Linked DNA regions of Arabidopsis thaliana. The protein of the gene in region 1 interacts with the protein of each later gene in a biochemical or structural test. Each region holds a gene or a part of one and is shown in the gene's direction. Other genes may lie near its edges. The genes, in order: JAZ4, WRKY57 and MYC2.

The links.
Region 2: the proteins of JAZ4 (region 1) and WRKY57 form a complex in vitro, tested with the Arabidopsis thaliana proteins (one study listed by BioGRID).
Region 3: the proteins of JAZ4 (region 1) and MYC2 form a complex in vitro, tested with the Arabidopsis thaliana proteins (one study listed by BioGRID).

What each region holds. Positions count from the first base shown.
Region 1 is NC_003070.9:17,929,595-17,935,208, forward strand, and holds JAZ4 (jasmonate-zim-domain protein 4), read left to right. Parts: upstream 1-1,795; 5' UTR 1,796-2,063; coding exon 2,064-2,139; intron 2,140-3,005; exon of another isoform or gene 3,006-3,385; coding exon 3,386-3,558; intron 3,559-3,679; coding exon 3,680-3,843; intron 3,844-3,937; coding exon 3,938-4,022; intron 4,023-4,224; coding exon 4,225-4,492; intron 4,493-4,593; coding exon 4,594-4,654; coding exon of another isoform or gene 4,655-4,661; exon of another isoform or gene 4,662-4,733; coding exon 4,734-4,839; 3' UTR 4,840-5,068; downstream 5,069-5,614. Other genes in the region: AT1G48510 (Surfeit locus 1 cytochrome c oxidase biogenesis protein), read left to right, coding at 5,295-5,439, 5,525-5,614. UniProt on the Arabidopsis thaliana protein: Repressor of jasmonate responses. Interacts with and suppresses RHD6 and RSL1 transcription factor activities to negatively regulate jasmonate-stimulated root hair development.
Region 2 is NC_003070.9:26,053,738-26,060,158, reverse strand, and holds WRKY57 (WRKY DNA-binding protein 57), read left to right. Parts: upstream 1-1,775; 5' UTR 1,776-2,249; coding exon 2,250-2,605; intron 2,606-3,446; coding exon 3,447-3,590; intron 3,591-3,677; coding exon 3,678-4,041; 3' UTR 4,042-4,042; exon of another isoform or gene 4,043-4,119; intron 4,120-5,230; 3' UTR 5,231-5,884; downstream 5,885-6,421. UniProt on the Arabidopsis thaliana protein: Transcription factor. Interacts specifically with the W box (5'-(T)TGAC[CT]-3'), a frequently occurring elicitor-responsive cis-acting element.
Region 3 is NC_003070.9:11,797,488-11,803,327, reverse strand, and holds MYC2 (Basic helix-loop-helix (bHLH) DNA-binding family protein), read left to right. Parts: upstream 1-1,920; 5' UTR 1,921-2,414; coding exon 2,415-4,286; 3' UTR 4,287-4,984; downstream 4,985-5,840. Other genes in the region: AT1G32630 (FAM50A-like protein), read right to left, coding at 4,985-5,386.

The sequences.
Region 1 (5,614 bases):
GGACCTAATAGATAATTTTTGTAATTATTTACTTCTAATTAAACTAATTCAGATTTTTCGAATAACAAGTATTTTTATTTATTTCTTACTAAATTAATTCAGATTTTTATAATAAAAATATGTTAAAACTTTTTCTTTTTGAATTTAATGTTAAATTATATTAAAAAGAAAAATAAACTTGTTACATATGAAATGCTAATTGTTTTGAGAGTTTTTTTAAAGAAAAGGAACTTCTAATTGTCTATTATCTATTGCCTTGATTCAAAGTTTTAAACCAAACTTGGATGCCATCTTTGAACTTCAATCCTCCACTACCTTGAATTGTGCTCAAACGGTTTCTAAGATTCTTGTCTATAATCTTCACAAGTATTTCCGTCGGTGATGATTGCTCCCCATGCCTGATGCCTCCTCCTATTTTGTTCATTCCAAATTGAGTGTATAGAGTTCTGTCTGTAGTGCATACCTAAGTATGTAGCTCTTCGTTTTGTATAGAAGGTTTTTAGATAAAGTTTTCATAACCTCTGTCCAACTCGCCGAATATCTGTCCGAGAGAATTCCCCTTGTTAAGTCTTCCCATATCTTTTTTGAGTAGGCGCAGTGGAAAAATAAGTGTTCCTTCGTCTCTCTACCTGTTCATTGCAAAAAATGCAACTCGAATCTACATTACATACCACTTTCTCATTGTCTCTCTACTCAAATTCTGTTTTTCACAACCAACCAAGTAAAAAGGGATACTTTGGAGTAACGTATGGGAACCATATCTCATTGTGTCCCTCTATCGACAACTTTGCTAAAACTTGTGTTCAACGTTCTCTTTTTGTTATGTTTTTTCTTTTTAAAATCTGGAACCTATATAAAATCAGCTTATTAGAATATATTTATAAACTTTAATTTTTAATTTTAAAAATATTATATGGTAATGACTTATATAATCTCAAGAAGAATTGTTTTTTCCATAATTCGTATGGAGCCTTATATTTTTTTGGTCTGGCTCTGGTTCTATGTGGCAAGTTTTGCAGCTTGCTCATAAATTCATAATGCCAAGGGTAAGCTCCATACACTCGAACTTGGTATGAACATGGGAGCTCAGCAGTGTACATGTACTTGTAATTTAACCTCATGACTATTAACTCTTACAGTTCCGAAAATAACCTCTTTCTTAGGAACTCTTAGGGTTTATCCAAAAACAAAAATACTTTGATATATTAACAAACGAAATCTAACAACAGTAAAAGAGGAAGTTCTCCGTATGGGAGAACCAATACGAAGCATAAATGCTAGATTTTAACAAATGAAATCTAGCCTTTTTAACAAGGACATGAGCATACCAAAAAAAACTTTAAACGAGAAAAACCATCAATCTCTATAAAAAAGAAGGCCATTCATCCGGGATGGCTACGATCTATAGGTTAATTCTTATCTAAAAAAAACATTAATCAAAGATAAATCAATAATGAGGCACTGCATGACCCAAAGCAAGAATTCAAACTTTGTATGAAGAGGGATCGAGACGACGGTGAAAGCTCTTCTCAACCACATTATTACCATGTTTTGTTGTGTAGAATGAATGAGTCAATGACTCAATGCACTACAAATAATTGCTCTCTTTTAACTTGAGAATAAGGGTTCTTATTATAATGCTTATCAGCTTTAAATATAAAAATAAATAATGTAAAACATTATTTTAAGTTTGATATTAACGACATATTTATATATTTATATATTTATATCCAAGTTGTTCAAAATAAAAATAAATATATATATTTATATCCGATGATTGAATTTCTAATATTGGAAGTTTATTCCGGAACAGGAAAGCAGACGTGGGATATACACATACCGCATCGGATGATTTATATTAAAAAAATATATGTATACATCATTAGAGGAATCATAAATCGGCGGTGTGTGTAACTTCAACTCACGTTTTTCATTTCTCTCCAAAGTCCTTCAATTGTTACTAATTCTCTCTGATCTCTCATTTCTTCTCTTCTCCGGTGACATTTTTTTTCTCCCCCGCGAAAGCTAAACCGTTTTTGTATTCTCAACGATTGATAAGCCTGATGGAGAGAGATTTTCTCGGGCTGGGATCAAAGTTATCTCCGATAACTGTGAAGGAGGAAACTAACGAAGATTCAGGTAATTCATCTTCAACATCTTCCATTATGATCTGATGATTGTGTTTTTCATCTCACTTTTTTTTGTTTCTATTTTTGTAATCTCTTTTTTTGTTTATTGTTCAAGTACATATATATTGTTTTTCTAGCTTGATTGGGAGTCCTACTGTCTGGTTTTTTCTTGAACAAGAAATTTTTTCTTCGTTTTCTCGGGAAGAGAAAAAATAAATTAGGGTTTCTTTTTTCTTGATATATATTTAAGAAATTAGGTTTTAGTACTATAGACAGAAATTTAGCTACTCGAATTTGTTTGACGTAGCCGATGAAAAAACACGTTTTGGGACTCGATAGTTAGAAAATTCATACGTTCACGATCTACTTTTGAAGTTTTTTTCATTAAATATTTTTTGCAAACTACAAATGTACAAGTATACAACTATACAAGCAAACACCAAACTTGTTGACGTTAGTAATTTAACAAGTGTTAGTATTATCTTTGAAAAATAATATTCAGAGAACAAACTTGATTTTCTAGGTGACTAGGTGATGCATGTTTCTAAAGCTGTTGGTAATGTTGAGTGTTTTCAAAATAATTTCGTTTTTTTCTTCAAACAGCCGACACCGACAGAACAAAAATGCTATATTTTTTTTGTTGCTTACAAAATTGATCAATTGGTTTCAATACAATAGTATCTTCTTTAGAAAAGATTGTTTTTTTCAAAGCCGGATTGAATATTGAGAATTAGAACATTGGCTGGTTATTCTTTTTGAAAAGTTTATGCCATTTTTTAAGGTTTATTAAGCAACTTGAATTCTATCAGTATTATTTAAAAACGAAGACGTGAAATGTTGGGAAAAGAATGCGTTATATAGCGACCGGCTGACGATTAGAGATTTAACAACAAATGCAAGTTGAATTATATAAAAGCAAGATTGATTGTGACTTGATTAAGTTTTATTTCTATCCAAGTAGACTCATTGATTAAGTTAGGATCATGTTGGGTATTAAATTTAGATCAAGTTACAATTTGGATGAATAATTTACTTACCCACGAGGAATTTAATAGTTAGTTCTTGTCTTTTTATATTCCGAAACGTGCCATTTCTTGAAAGTATTTGTATGATCACTATTTTCCCCAGTGTGTTTGGCTTTATGCAGATTTGTTCATTGTTGATGAATCTAATGTTAAGAGTCGTCCACTTTAGCATAGCTAGATCTGAGTGTTTCCTAGTTTGATAAAATCTAAAGACATTTGCTCATGTTTCAGCCCCAAGTAGAGGTATGATGGATTGGTCATTCTCAAGCAAAGTCGGTTCTGGTCCTCAGTTTCTTTCTTTTGGGACATCCCAACAAGAAACGCGTGTAAACACAGTCAATGATCATTTGCTTTCTTCTGCTGCAATGGATCAAAACCAGAGAACTTACTTCAGCTCACTACAGGTTAGGCTATTTCTTGAAAAGAAAAAAAGTAGTGATAAAGTGTGATTTAGTGACCTTGTAAGAAAGCTTGGCAATTGGTTTAGTTTCTTCTGGTCTCAAAATTGATACAAAATGATCTCAGGAAGACAGAGTGTTCCCAGGTTCCAGTCAGCAAGACCAAACAACCATCACAGTCTCCATGTCCGAACCAAACTACATCAACAGTTTCATAAACCACCAACATTTAGGAGGATCTCCTATCATGGCACCTCCAGTTTCAGTATTTCCTGCTCCAACCACTATTAGGCATGCACTGCATTCTATCTTCTTCTGTTTAACATCAGATACAGAACCTCTTTACTTCTATAGTTGACTCGAGCTCCTTTATGTTCATCTCCAGATCTTCTTCAAAACCACTTCCCCCTCAGTTGACAATCTTTTATGCCGGTTCAGTATTAGTTTACCAAGACATAGCTCCTGAAAAGGTAACCAAATTTCCTTCAATATGTGTTACATTACAGTCCAAGCTATCCACTGACTAAGTATTCAATCAAAGAAATAAGTTTCACGTATAGACATGCTGAAGTTATAGAAAGTTACTAACCTGGTTTCAACATACAGTATGTTAATGATTCATAGATATGATAAATCTTTGTCCTTACTTCTTCATTTATTTTGTATTCATAGGCCCAAGCTATCATGTTGCTAGCCGGAAATGGACCTCATGCTAAACCGGTTTCACAACCTAAACCTCAAAAACTGGTTCATCACTCTCTTCCAACCACTGATCCTCCAACTATGCCTCCTAGTTTCCTGCCTTCCATCTCTTACATTGTCTCTGAAACCAGAAGTAGTGGATCCAACGGGGTTACTGGACTTGGACCAACAAAAACAAAGGCGAGTTTAGCATCCACGCGCAACAACCAAACTGCTGCCTTCTCTATGGCTCCAACAGGTTATAAATGAAGTCTTAACTCCTATTAATGTTTTGTCATCAAACTTCTATCTTAGGTTTAGTTTGTTATAACCAAAAAATCTTGCTATGATTTAATACAGTGGGTTTACCACAAACACGCAAAGCATCCTTGGCTCGGTTCTTAGAGAAACGCAAAGAAAGGTACTGAGCTACAAGATTATTCACTTATTCACAATATCAAAACACAGGTTTGCTGTATATTGGCTTCGTTTTCTTGCAGGGTCATTAACGTATCACCTTATTACGTAGACAACAAGTCATCAATAGACTGTAGAACACTGATGTCTGAATGTGTAAGCTGTCCTCCAGCTCATCATCTGCACTAAAACCAATTTAGACCCCTCATTGTTCTAAAGGCTTTTTCTTTTTTCTCTGGCTCTGTATCCTATAGACTATAGTATAGTTGTTATAGCTTTTGTTTATTCAGATTTTAGTACACTGGGCTTGTAAAAGCAAGTTATTTATATATATCCTATAAATTTAATTTGGATACTGTATGTTTTGTCTTTACTCTTGCATGTGTATAAAAAACATAAAAGTAAGACTATTCAAGCTCTTCTAGATTTTGTTGAAGTCAACTTTATGTTTATACTTTTTTTTCGATAATTGATATAAAATATTTCCACCAGCAGATGAAAGTCATTTAATTAGTTGGTGCCATGTGCTATATCAGAAAATAAAACATTAGTTTATATACTTAATCAGTCCTCGTCGTCGTCGCCATATATAGTAGATCAAGAATCTTGGATGAGACAAAGAGAAGATCCTGGAGGAGAAAAAGATGACAAAACTCGTTTCCAAGATATTTAAGAGGTTGATTTCTCAAAGTCAGTACATGTCTTCTTCTACTACTAGCAATCTCCCTGCTGCTTCACAAACTTCCAATCTTGAGAGCCAATTGCTTTCTTCAGCTCCACCACCCGCAAGTATCTTGCACATGCTCTCTCTCGTCTAATTTGTGATTAAGTTCTGAATCTTGGTTCTGAATCTTTGTGTAAAAATGTTTTGCAGAGAAGAAAAGAGGGTCAGCGTTGTTATGGTACTTAGTTGGATTCACTACTTATGGTCTCGGTGAGACGTATAAGTTCCTACAAACACAAG
Region 2 (6,421 bases), 8.1 Mb from region 1:
ATATGCGTGTATAAGTTATAAATCAGAAATGATAAAAAAAAAAACTGAGCATATAAGATTATGAAGTATAAATCAATGGAAATTAATCGGTAAAAAAAATGTTTAACAATAAGAGATTGCATCTATACTATTAATCGGTAAGAGATATAGTAGTGAGAAATAGTGGTACAAAAACAAATAATGGTCTGTTTTTGGTAAGAAACAGTGATATGTAAATAGATGACAATACCATATTTTCTATGCGTTGTACCGGTTTTGTTGAATCATTTTATTTTCCTTTTTACATATATCACATTAGAACTGAGAACAAATTTAAATGATATATAAAAAACATAGGTCAGTCTTTTTATAGCTAAACTAAAAAACTTACTCCATTTAATTAGTAATCAAGTTAACGGTTTATATCATATAATAAATTTACAAATCAATATTTATGTTGATTTGATTTCTAACATGATTTGCTCCCATTATTGATACCTTTTTTTTTTTAGAGAGGACCATTATTGATACTTCCTATTCATAATCCACTATTTATAATTTATCGAGGATATGTATATCGAATCAAAGGGCCTACGAGGATATAGATGGATTGTGCAAATACAAGTAGGTGTCCCTCTTGCGTGTACGCACAAACGATTCTCGACGTAGATGCTAGCGTTATAATAGCACCGAGATCGATAGACCAAACCCAAAAATGGTAAAGAATAATGTTGCTATTTAGATGTGTATTGATACTTAATTCTTTGATTAAAAAACACATGTGAACCTAAATTATTCATATCCACATATCTTCACAAAAGTGTATATGGACAAAGTTAACTGTTTTTCTATAATCATAATTTTAAAACACAACTTGTATTACAGCTGTATCTATGATTCTATATATACGTTGTTAGCGTAGTAGCGTGTGGTACATATGTTACATGATTTCAACAATATTCTAATAATGGTTAGACATCACGTAGACATGTGTCTCGTTTTAATCCGTGCATGTATTTAAACAAAAATCGATTCATCTGCTGATTTTATAGACACTTTTTTATTTAAAAGACGATGTTGTTTAGTTTTTCCACAGGGAACGTTTACATGAATCTCGAAGATATGGTTGTTTGAGTCTGAGTGCGACCGGAAACGTTTGTTTGATGGATTGCAATTATGGGAATATAAATAAGGAATAACATGTGAATATGATTATAAGATAATTATCATATATGACTTATGAGGATTAAGAATTTCCACGTGGCCGGTTAATTGTTTGTGGTTTACATTCGCTAGATTCTTGTCATATCCAACACGGACAACACGCAGAAACCAATTATTTACTTTCTAACTAATTTTCAATCAAAATTTAAATATACTTTATTCATTTTCAATTATACCTCATTTCATAAAAAAAAAAAAAAAAAATTATGCTTTTTTATCCTCGCATCATCAGTCATCCGAACCACAAACAAGTAGGTGGTATTTTTAAGTTGAAGCTTCTTTTCTTCCACAAAAAGGAATCCCATGGACTCATACAACAAAAATTATACCAGATCGAACTAGGGTTCTGATAGTATGTTTGTTTCGTAATCGCTCACGAGTCACGACATCAACAATGACCAATAACTCAATTAGGTTTGTTTCATAGTTGCAACAGTAACATCGACTAATAGTAGTAGATACATAAAAACAAAAGTCTCGATGAACCAACAACTATAAAACGAACAAATCTTGCTAATCGTCCTTCTTTGGACAATTGGATTAGTGGTACCAATTTCAATAGTGAAAGAAGTCTCATCATCTATGTTAATTGAAGAGTAAATGCAAATCCGAGTCTAAAAATAGGCGTCGATCTATAGGACTCAAAAAGTAGACGTGGGCCTCTCACTTTCTCCGCTACTAGCAGCCTCCCGTTCCGTTTCACTTGACCCTTTTGACGTTGACGTTCCATTTTTTCAACTTTCTCTTCTTTTTTTTCCCTCTCTCTCTTGAATTATTATTAATATATTTTGTGTTTACGCAATTTCCAAAAATTAAATAAATTAAAAGAATCTCTCGTATAGACAAAGAGAGAGAGAGTCTGAGATCGGTCCTTGACGAGACACTGCACTTTAACGGGTTTCAAAGTTTTTTTTTCACTCTCTTTTCTTTCTTTCTTTCTTTCTTTCTCTTCCAATCAAGAACAAACCCTAGCTCCTCTCTTTTTCTCTCTCTACCTCTCTTTCTCTATCTTCTCTTATCACTACTTCTCTCGCCGATCAATCATCATGAACGATCCTGATAATCCCGATCTGAGCAACGACGACTCTGCTTGGAGAGAACTCACACTCACAGCTCAAGATTCTGACTTCTTCGACCGAGACACTTCCAATATCCTCTCTGACTTCGGTTGGAACCTCCACCACTCCTCCGATCATCCTCACAGTCTCAGATTCGACTCCGATTTAACACAAACCACCGGAGTCAAACCTACCACCGTCACTTCTTCTTGTTCCTCATCCGCCGCCGTTTCCGTTGCCGTTACCTCTACTAATAATAATCCCTCAGCTACCTCAAGTTCAAGTGAAGATCCGGCCGAGAACTCAACCGCCTCCGCCGAGAAAACACCACCACCGGAGACACCGTGAGTTTTTTTTACTGAGACGAGAAACACGTGTGTGTTTTTGTTTGCAGGGGTCCGATCGTAATTTACTTCATTATCTTAGTGTTGGTGGTGGGGAGGGTTTTAGTTTTATCTTGAGGCCAAAGCCAAAAGCCCCATTTTTTCTCTCATTTATTTTCTTTCTTTTGAGTAATTTCTTTGGCATCGCAAGAAAGATAGAGAGTGATGAGTTCGTCCGTACAGTAGTACATTAGAAGTTTTGGAGAGGGAAGGAGAAATTGGTAATTAAGTAAAGAATCGTCGGTGGCAGTTGGAGTAAATAATAATGATGATGGAGGAATGGGAGGAACACCGCCGCAATAGCGGCTGTGATATTAGCGTGCACTCTACATCTTCTTTTTCTCCTCGTCCTTTCCTTTTCTTTTTTAATTATACTAATGTTAGGTCAAAAAGCGTCTCACGTTTTAATGATGTTAATCTACATAGTATCTATCTAGCAAAGTTATTAAAAAAGACTCTGATTTTTTTAACAATTCTTGTCTCGTCAATCGTTGTTTCATAAGATGTTCCGTATGTAGGGTTTTCACTTAAAAGATGGATGAAAATGTTCTAGCAATGTAAAATGGATGATTTTAATGAAAACGTTATAGCAAGCATTTGAAGTCAAGTAACAATTTTTTTTGGTTAGATGTTCAAGTTAATTGCGTTTTATTTTAAACTCTCTTTTTTATTTTCCGTGGTTGTTTTGACTGTGCAATATTAGGATTGGAGTCCATGTTTTGTGATATTTTTTTGAATTTGATAGCTTGATTAATTGGTTACTCTGTGATATTGATGCATGGTTATATACTTTGTTTTCTAGAGTGAAGGAGAAGAAGAAGGCTCAAAAGCGAATTCGGCAACCAAGATTCGCATTCATGACCAAGAGTGATGTGGATAATCTTGAAGATGGATATCGATGGCGTAAATATGGACAAAAAGCCGTCAAGAATAGCCCATTCCCAAGGTCGTATATAAGTCATCAGTTTCTTTGATCATTCTCTTAGTTAACGGATATGCAACCTATATTTCTTATTGTTGTTGTGATATATAGGAGCTACTATAGATGCACAAACAGCAGATGCACGGTGAAGAAGAGAGTAGAACGTTCATCAGATGATCCATCGATAGTGATCACAACATACGAAGGACAACATTGCCATCAAACCATTGGATTCCCTCGTGGTGGAATCCTCACTGCACACGACCCACATAGCTTCACTTCTCATCATCATCTCCCTCCTCCATTACCAAATCCTTATTATTACCAAGAACTCCTTCATCAACTTCACAGAGACAATAATGCTCCTTCACCGCGGTTACCCCGACCTACTACTGAAGATACACCTGCCGTGTCTACTCCATCAGAGGAAGGCTTACTTGGTGATATTGTACCTCAAACTATGCGCAACCCTTGAGGTAATTTCTTACATGTTATATATATTTTTTGTTGTATTTGTTAATGTTCGTGCATTAATAGTCTTAGGAGTGATCAACTCTATAAAGAGATCAAATATATATATCTTTGGTATGCAAGGGTTTAAAAACTTTAAATGGACCACAAAGGGATAAACGGTTTTTCGTTTTAGGCCGAAGCTGAAAATCCACATCAAGGGATGTCTTAGGTGGGATAAAATTCCCATGCTTTGACAGAAACAAAGTCTAACTGATGTAGATGTACTTATGAATATTAGGATCAAATATCGTGTTGGTCTAATCATTGATGCGAACCATTATCTCTCTTGTGGAACAATTTAGATCACTCGATAGATATGTCGGCCAGTGCTTTTTCTTTCTCTAGTATTCATTTTTGCAGAACATATTATAAAGTTGGATGATGCATGCATATATAATAAGTGGATGATTGCCTCTCTCTATATATATTTAAATACACACACAGATATATATATATATATATATATATGTATATATTTACGAGTGATTGTATAAGGATCAAGCACTGGTATAATAGTGCCTTTTGTCTCACCCCTCTTGCTATAAGGCATATATAGGCTTACTTGTGTCTGATAGAGACGAGCCCAAAATGGGTCGGCGGGTTTATAGAAATGTCAACAAATATTTAAATCGAAGCTCAACTACTCCACTCAGTGTCACGATAATGGCTTTTCCATTTACATTTATAACCTTTTGTGTGTGTTCACAATTGCATGTATATATGCGTGATTCTGTGTCCTGCATGGTGCATCATTCTTATGTCTATGTGTATGTATATCAGTATATGTACAAGCATATTTACAAGAAGTACTACGCGAAGCATGTAGGATAAGTTCTGAGGGTAATGTGTTAGGTCATAGGAATAAATGCTTTCTGTTTTAGCCAAAGACAGCCAATAAAGGAAAAAGGAAGAAAATGAGGTAGAAGAGACGTATGAGCATCTTAGCTAGCTCCACAATTGAAACCTTTAATACGTAAATTCGTGTACATATATTTTTTATTTATTAAATTACGTATATATAGTTTGATTTGTAAACATTTCTTATAAGATCAACTTTACCAAATTATACACCATTGACATTAACATATGCTATTTCCAAAGATGAAATGTAACATATATACATATCTGCCTTGTTTGATTTAATCTCCCAGGTAAGCTTGGTACGTAGCAATAGCTAAGGAGGTGCTAACTCATTATATATAGAAGATATTGCAGACCAGAATATGCGCAGGGAGGGTATAACAATATGGCGTTGTAACAATGGATCTATATATTACCTCATTGTTGATCAATAGCACACCACCGGTACGTTTGCAATTTCTTCATGTATATTTCTTGTTATATATGTAGTTATATATCCAGGTATAATTTTGATGTAACACAACATTAATCTTAATCGTGGATCCATCCCACATTTGATGCATGTATGTGCACTTAAGAAAAAGAACATGGAGGAAATAACGTTATTTTTTATTATTCTTTTCATCAATTTTACAATTATTTTATACTTTTATCTTTATAACTTTAGGGCGATATATATCTATATGAACTTTACAGATTGCAAGAATATCCCCAATTCATATTGGAGAACAGAATTCGCGATGCGTAATTTATAAAAAGAGATTATCAATTGCTTTGGTGAAAATATCTTATAACGTGGTCAAGGCATGGATAATCCGAACAGCATCGACTTATATGACATGCCATTGTGAATGTGGTGATAATCTATTCATGTAACTAACATGTTTTGTACGTTGGTAAAAAAGACGAAATTTGTGGTAATCATCAATCATGTTTGACTTTTACCCATTTTGATCTAGACTATATATTATGGTTTTATCATCGTTTTTTGGTTTGGAACGGAATTTCGTTTACGTGATGAAAACGATAACCATTGCGGTGCCTCGTTGTCTCCCAAAAGGCCAAAATATAAAAGAGACGTAAACGATCATTAAATCAGAAGACAAACCAGTCTAATGATCAGAATTACTCAGTTTACATATTTTAAAAATTACAATCCTATTTATGCTAAAAAAAAATGTTTTGATCCGAACAAATTAAATCTTTCCAAAGACATTCAAAGTCTTGCTTTTCAATGAACCGTTCAAAGTTAATGAATGTATTGAAGTGACGTACATATCAACTTCTAGCTACGCCAAGCAAATGTGTAAAAACCGTTCCGTTTTGGTAAATTAAGTTCACATTTTAAATCAAGAAAATAAATGTCGACTTGTGAACTAAATATATGTCAACATGCTAATTGTCGACATTAATTGTTCTTAATCAGCCAAAACTCCACTTAAAAGTATTTGCAAAACGCACAATTATGTTCACATTAAAAT
Region 3 (5,840 bases), 6.1 Mb from region 1:
GTAATTAATTTCCAGATTCATTTTTTAAAAGGAAAAAAGAAAGAAAATACAACTAATATCAGGAAAAATATATTATTACACATTCACATGTAGAAAAATTTCAAGTCTATATGATCGTGTATTTGTGTCTGCATGTTTCAAAATCATTGAAAAGACCCTTCCTAAAAAGTAAGCGAATCCAAAATTGTATGTAAATTTATATACATATGTATATATATGAACATATGTTATTATAATTATGAATAAATTATTGCTACTTAGGAACTCAATCAACAAAAGATACATAGATTGAGGCGCTTCTACAAGGTCATCCTAGTCACTTATTAACCTAACATATGTAACACATTGTATAAGCTATTCGAGCATGCCAAATCAATCAAGATCATTATATCATGTTCGACGATCTATCGAAAGTGTACACCAATTGATGATTCTCTATTTCTCTAAATCTAAGAATAACTCGAATTGGTCACATACAAATTTGGATCAGGTAACAGATATATTTTTATTTCATGCAGTTAGGAAATAACATATGGGAAATTTATATCTTACGTTCCACATTGTTCCCGAATCCCGACTAATGTCCCTCTCTTTCAACAAGGTGATAGTAAGATCTTCATTTAATCAACCCGACTCTCTACTTAAAAAATTTCAACCATTTTCTCTAAGAAGTCAGAACACTCCATCATCCCCATTCTAAGCTCAACATAACAACATAACAAGAAAACTGTCATCTTTGTTATCTCATTTCTCGAAGTAAGGGGGGAAATCTCTATATTTATCCCACTAATTATTCATTACTTAGTGGGATATTGTTGTTTTCTAGTGGCGTCACCCCCAAAGTCGACATGAAATATGATATCACGAATCACCTAGCCAAAACTTAGTGTAACATCTTCTCATAATTTTCTTATAGTAAACATGTTCAAAAGTCGACTCACAACCACCAGACAATGGTTTGGTTGTTTTCTGTTTGTTGAATCGTTCATTGACGAGTTCACCCAATACAGATGTCTCAGAAAATTATATTCAAAAGTTATTTTGGTTGTTATTTACAAAAAATGGTATACTAGATCCCAAAATTATTTTACTATTTATTGTTGGTAAAATACTCTTTAGTTTAATATGGTTTTAATAAGAAAAATCAACCGGAGTATCATTAATCTGAACGTATAAAGACATATCATTGAGTTTATCACAAGACAACGTAAATCTACAAGAACACAATAACATAAGTTTAGTGTTTTGTTAGTAAGAATTTGTCTTCGCAAGATAGAATTTTAGAAGTATATATATATATATATATATATACTATTTTATCTTAATTCTTTTTGTTTTATTTTTGGTTTTTAGGTAAGGGTTAGGAGTAATGGGACCATATTGGTGGCATGCTAAATTATTGTGATAAATTTATGCATGGAGGAAAAGATGCCAAATGATTTATGTTATTCACTCATACTCACCTAATGACCTAATCCTTGAATTATTGTTCGAACTTTAAAAATAAAATTTTAATATTGTAAATTAAACAAACAATATAACGTTGTTAGCATGTGTTTATCGTGAAATGTGAATGTAACTAAAAATATTATAAAGGAGTTCTTCCTTTCTTAAAGCATATGCTAATAATAGCGTTTGGTCAAATTAATAAATTATTAGTTTATTTAGTCGTCAACAAATTAATTAGTTAAGCAGACAAGAATCGTTTTTGGAGATAGAGATTCTCACTTGCATTTCACTCTCTTGCAATTTAACATATTAAGACAAACACAAATTTTTGCTTTAGTGAATTATTAGCAACGACTCACGTTATATAGATATGCAAATCTCAAAATTAATTAAGCTAAGACACAGTATTTGATAATTGAGATTACAAATCTTAAATTTTGATTTTTAATATTTTAAAATAACATTATAAAATAAGTAATTAATCTGTTATAAAAAATATATTCTAAAAGTTGACAAAACGACAAATATAAATCGAAAAAATAGGTGAAAAGTTATAGTAAAGTGTTTTTCCACTGAGCTCACAGTTCACTCTTTGGTACAAAAGAAACAATCAGTTAAAATCTAAGTCAATCATTAAAGAGCGTGTGATACACGTGCGACCAAACAGCCGTACGATCTCACTCACTTCCGGTCTTAATTCTTACCGCGTCGATCCAACAGTCGATGGGGTTAAATCGGGATGTGAGTTCATCGAAGCTTCTCTCTCTCTTACAACCATCCACGTTTCCCAATGAAATCTCGCCACGTAATATCCCTAACAACAAATTTACACATTCACCCTCAAGATCAGTTACACATATAATAATCGCAGACGCTCTCCATTTTTCTCCACTACGAAGACTTTCTCCTATCTCTCTCTCTCTCATTAAAAACGTGTTTTTTTTTACCGGTCACCGGTTTATGGAATGACTGATTACCGGCTACAACCAACGATGAATCTTTGGACCACCGACGACAACGCTTCTATGATGGAAGCTTTCATGAGCTCTTCCGATATCTCAACTTTATGGCCTCCGGCGTCGACGACAACCACGACGGCGACGACTGAAACAACTCCGACGCCGGCGATGGAGATTCCGGCACAGGCGGGATTTAATCAAGAGACTCTTCAGCAACGTTTACAAGCTTTGATTGAAGGAACACACGAAGGTTGGACCTACGCTATATTCTGGCAACCGTCGTATGATTTCTCCGGCGCCTCCGTGCTCGGATGGGGAGATGGTTATTACAAAGGTGAAGAAGATAAAGCAAACCCGAGACGGAGATCGAGTTCGCCGCCGTTTTCTACTCCGGCGGATCAGGAGTACAGGAAAAAAGTGTTGAGAGAGCTTAACTCGTTGATCTCCGGTGGTGTTGCTCCGTCGGATGACGCTGTTGATGAGGAGGTGACGGATACGGAATGGTTTTTCTTGGTTTCGATGACGCAGAGCTTCGCTTGCGGTGCGGGATTAGCTGGTAAAGCGTTTGCAACGGGTAACGCGGTTTGGGTTTCCGGGTCAGATCAATTATCCGGGTCGGGTTGTGAACGGGCTAAGCAAGGAGGAGTGTTTGGGATGCATACTATTGCGTGTATTCCTTCGGCGAACGGAGTTGTGGAAGTCGGGTCAACGGAGCCGATCCGACAGAGTTCGGACCTTATTAACAAGGTTCGAATTCTTTTCAATTTCGACGGCGGAGCTGGAGATTTATCGGGTCTTAATTGGAATCTTGACCCGGATCAAGGTGAGAACGACCCGTCTATGTGGATTAATGACCCGATTGGAACACCTGGATCTAACGAACCGGGTAACGGAGCTCCAAGTTCTAGCTCCCAGCTTTTTTCAAAGTCTATTCAGTTTGAGAACGGTAGCTCAAGCACAATAACCGAAAACCCGAATCTGGATCCGACTCCGAGTCCGGTTCATTCTCAGACCCAGAATCCGAAATTCAATAACACTTTCTCCCGAGAACTTAATTTTTCGACGTCAAGTTCTACTTTAGTGAAACCAAGATCCGGCGAGATATTAAACTTCGGCGATGAAGGTAAACGAAGCTCCGGAAACCCGGATCCAAGTTCTTATTCGGGTCAAACACAATTCGAAAACAAAAGAAAGAGGTCGATGGTTTTGAACGAAGATAAAGTTCTATCATTCGGAGATAAAACCGCCGGAGAATCAGATCACTCCGATCTAGAAGCTTCCGTCGTGAAAGAAGTAGCAGTAGAGAAACGTCCAAAGAAACGAGGAAGAAAGCCAGCAAACGGTAGAGAAGAGCCACTAAACCACGTCGAAGCAGAGAGACAAAGACGCGAGAAACTAAACCAAAGATTCTACGCGTTACGAGCGGTTGTACCAAACGTTTCAAAAATGGATAAAGCTTCGTTACTCGGTGACGCAATCGCTTACATCAACGAGCTTAAATCCAAAGTAGTCAAAACAGAGTCAGAGAAACTCCAAATCAAGAACCAGCTCGAGGAAGTGAAACTCGAGCTCGCCGGAAGAAAAGCGAGTGCTAGTGGAGGAGATATGTCGTCTTCGTGTTCTTCGATTAAACCGGTGGGGATGGAGATTGAAGTGAAGATAATTGGTTGGGACGCAATGATTAGAGTTGAATCTAGTAAGAGGAATCATCCGGCGGCGAGGTTGATGTCGGCGTTGATGGATTTGGAGTTGGAAGTGAATCACGCGAGTATGTCGGTGGTTAACGATTTGATGATTCAACAAGCGACGGTGAAGATGGGTTTTAGGATCTATACGCAAGAACAGCTCAGAGCAAGTTTGATTTCAAAAATCGGTTAAAAGGGTGTGTTTTGGGAAGTTTAGAAAGTTATGGGGTCAAATCATAATTAATTCGTTTTAGTGGCTTCAGTAATTTTGTAGATTTTAGTTTTGTAAGAAAAAAATCTTAAAATAGAGCGACAAGTTTCTTCTTTTGCTCTATGTTTGAGTCTGTATCGTTTTATTGTTGTATCTCCTCAATGAGTAAACTTGTATATATTGATATGAGTAATATGAGTTAGTTACTGAAAAAGTTAATATTTCTACACAATTTCATATGATAAAAAAGAAAAAGAAATCGAGTATAAATGGTCTAAAATAAGAGACTAATGGTCATGATCACTGATTTTGTACATATGGTCAAAAATGTCTCTCCTAACACATCAAACTTAGGAAGAGAGACAAATCTTAAGTAAGTTAAGTCGAGAGGGAGACCATATGCACAGTTTTCTTAAGTCAGTGTGATAATGTTTCCTCTTGTCTAATCAATAAGACACAACACACATAAACCTTAGTATAATACTACATGGATCTTCGAATACACAGACAGAGTCACAGACAAGAAAAAGCAAATCACTTGCTTTTGTCTTGATCATTTCCAATATCTACAAAAATAGAAATCTTGAAGAGATTATTGAATCTGAAATCTGCTTTGTTTGTGCATTCTCTTCCTCGATCACCTCGCAAGATCCTCTAGCAACCTGACCAATCCTCAAGAATCAAGTTTTCTTCTTTCTAGCTTCAGCTTTCCAATCTCGACGATGCGGCCTTATCTTCCGTTTAACCGACTCACAAGAACTATCTTGAGCCTTGTTCATAATCAAATGAGCTCTTCTAGCTTCTTTTTTCCAATTTCTATCGCAATAAACCCGCCGCACAAAGTTCTCAACATAACCACTAGGTCCATTAAACTCTAGTCCCTCGTCTTCTTCTTCTTCTTCTTCTTGTTTTCCCATTGTCTCAAACGAAAGATTATCATCGTTACCCGCTTCTTCTTCCCGCATCCGTTTCCTGGCTCGATACCTACGTTGTCTTTCTCTGTTCTTCATTCGACGGATCATGACTTCATCTTTGTCTATCAACCCTTCTTTCTCATCAATGCTCAAACCACCATTGCTCATCTTTCCTTCAATTCCAATTACTCAAAACACTGATAAAACAAACCAAATTCTATTATAAGGTAATGCATTTAAAGGAAAGAATCTAAAGCTCTATAAAACCCTAGAAGCTTCTTAATTCAAAAGCTGAAGACACAAAACACACACAAATGTAATTTTGCAACTAGAGGAGGACCAAATTAGAGATTCGTTAATAGCAATCAACCAGAAATGTAAGACTTCCAAAGAATCAAAATTAGCTAATCGATACAACTAAAAATGTTATTTTGCTTTGCTTTCAAGTTGAGAAAACAGAGAAGTTCGATACTCAAAGAACCTGAATGATTAATTCGATGATTAGGTTAAGAGGCTAAAACCCATATATTACCAATCTCAGTGATTGATTTACGAGAAGAGAAATCCAAAAAAAACAAAATCAATAAAGGTCATACCTTTGAAGCTTCAGTGAACAAAGAAA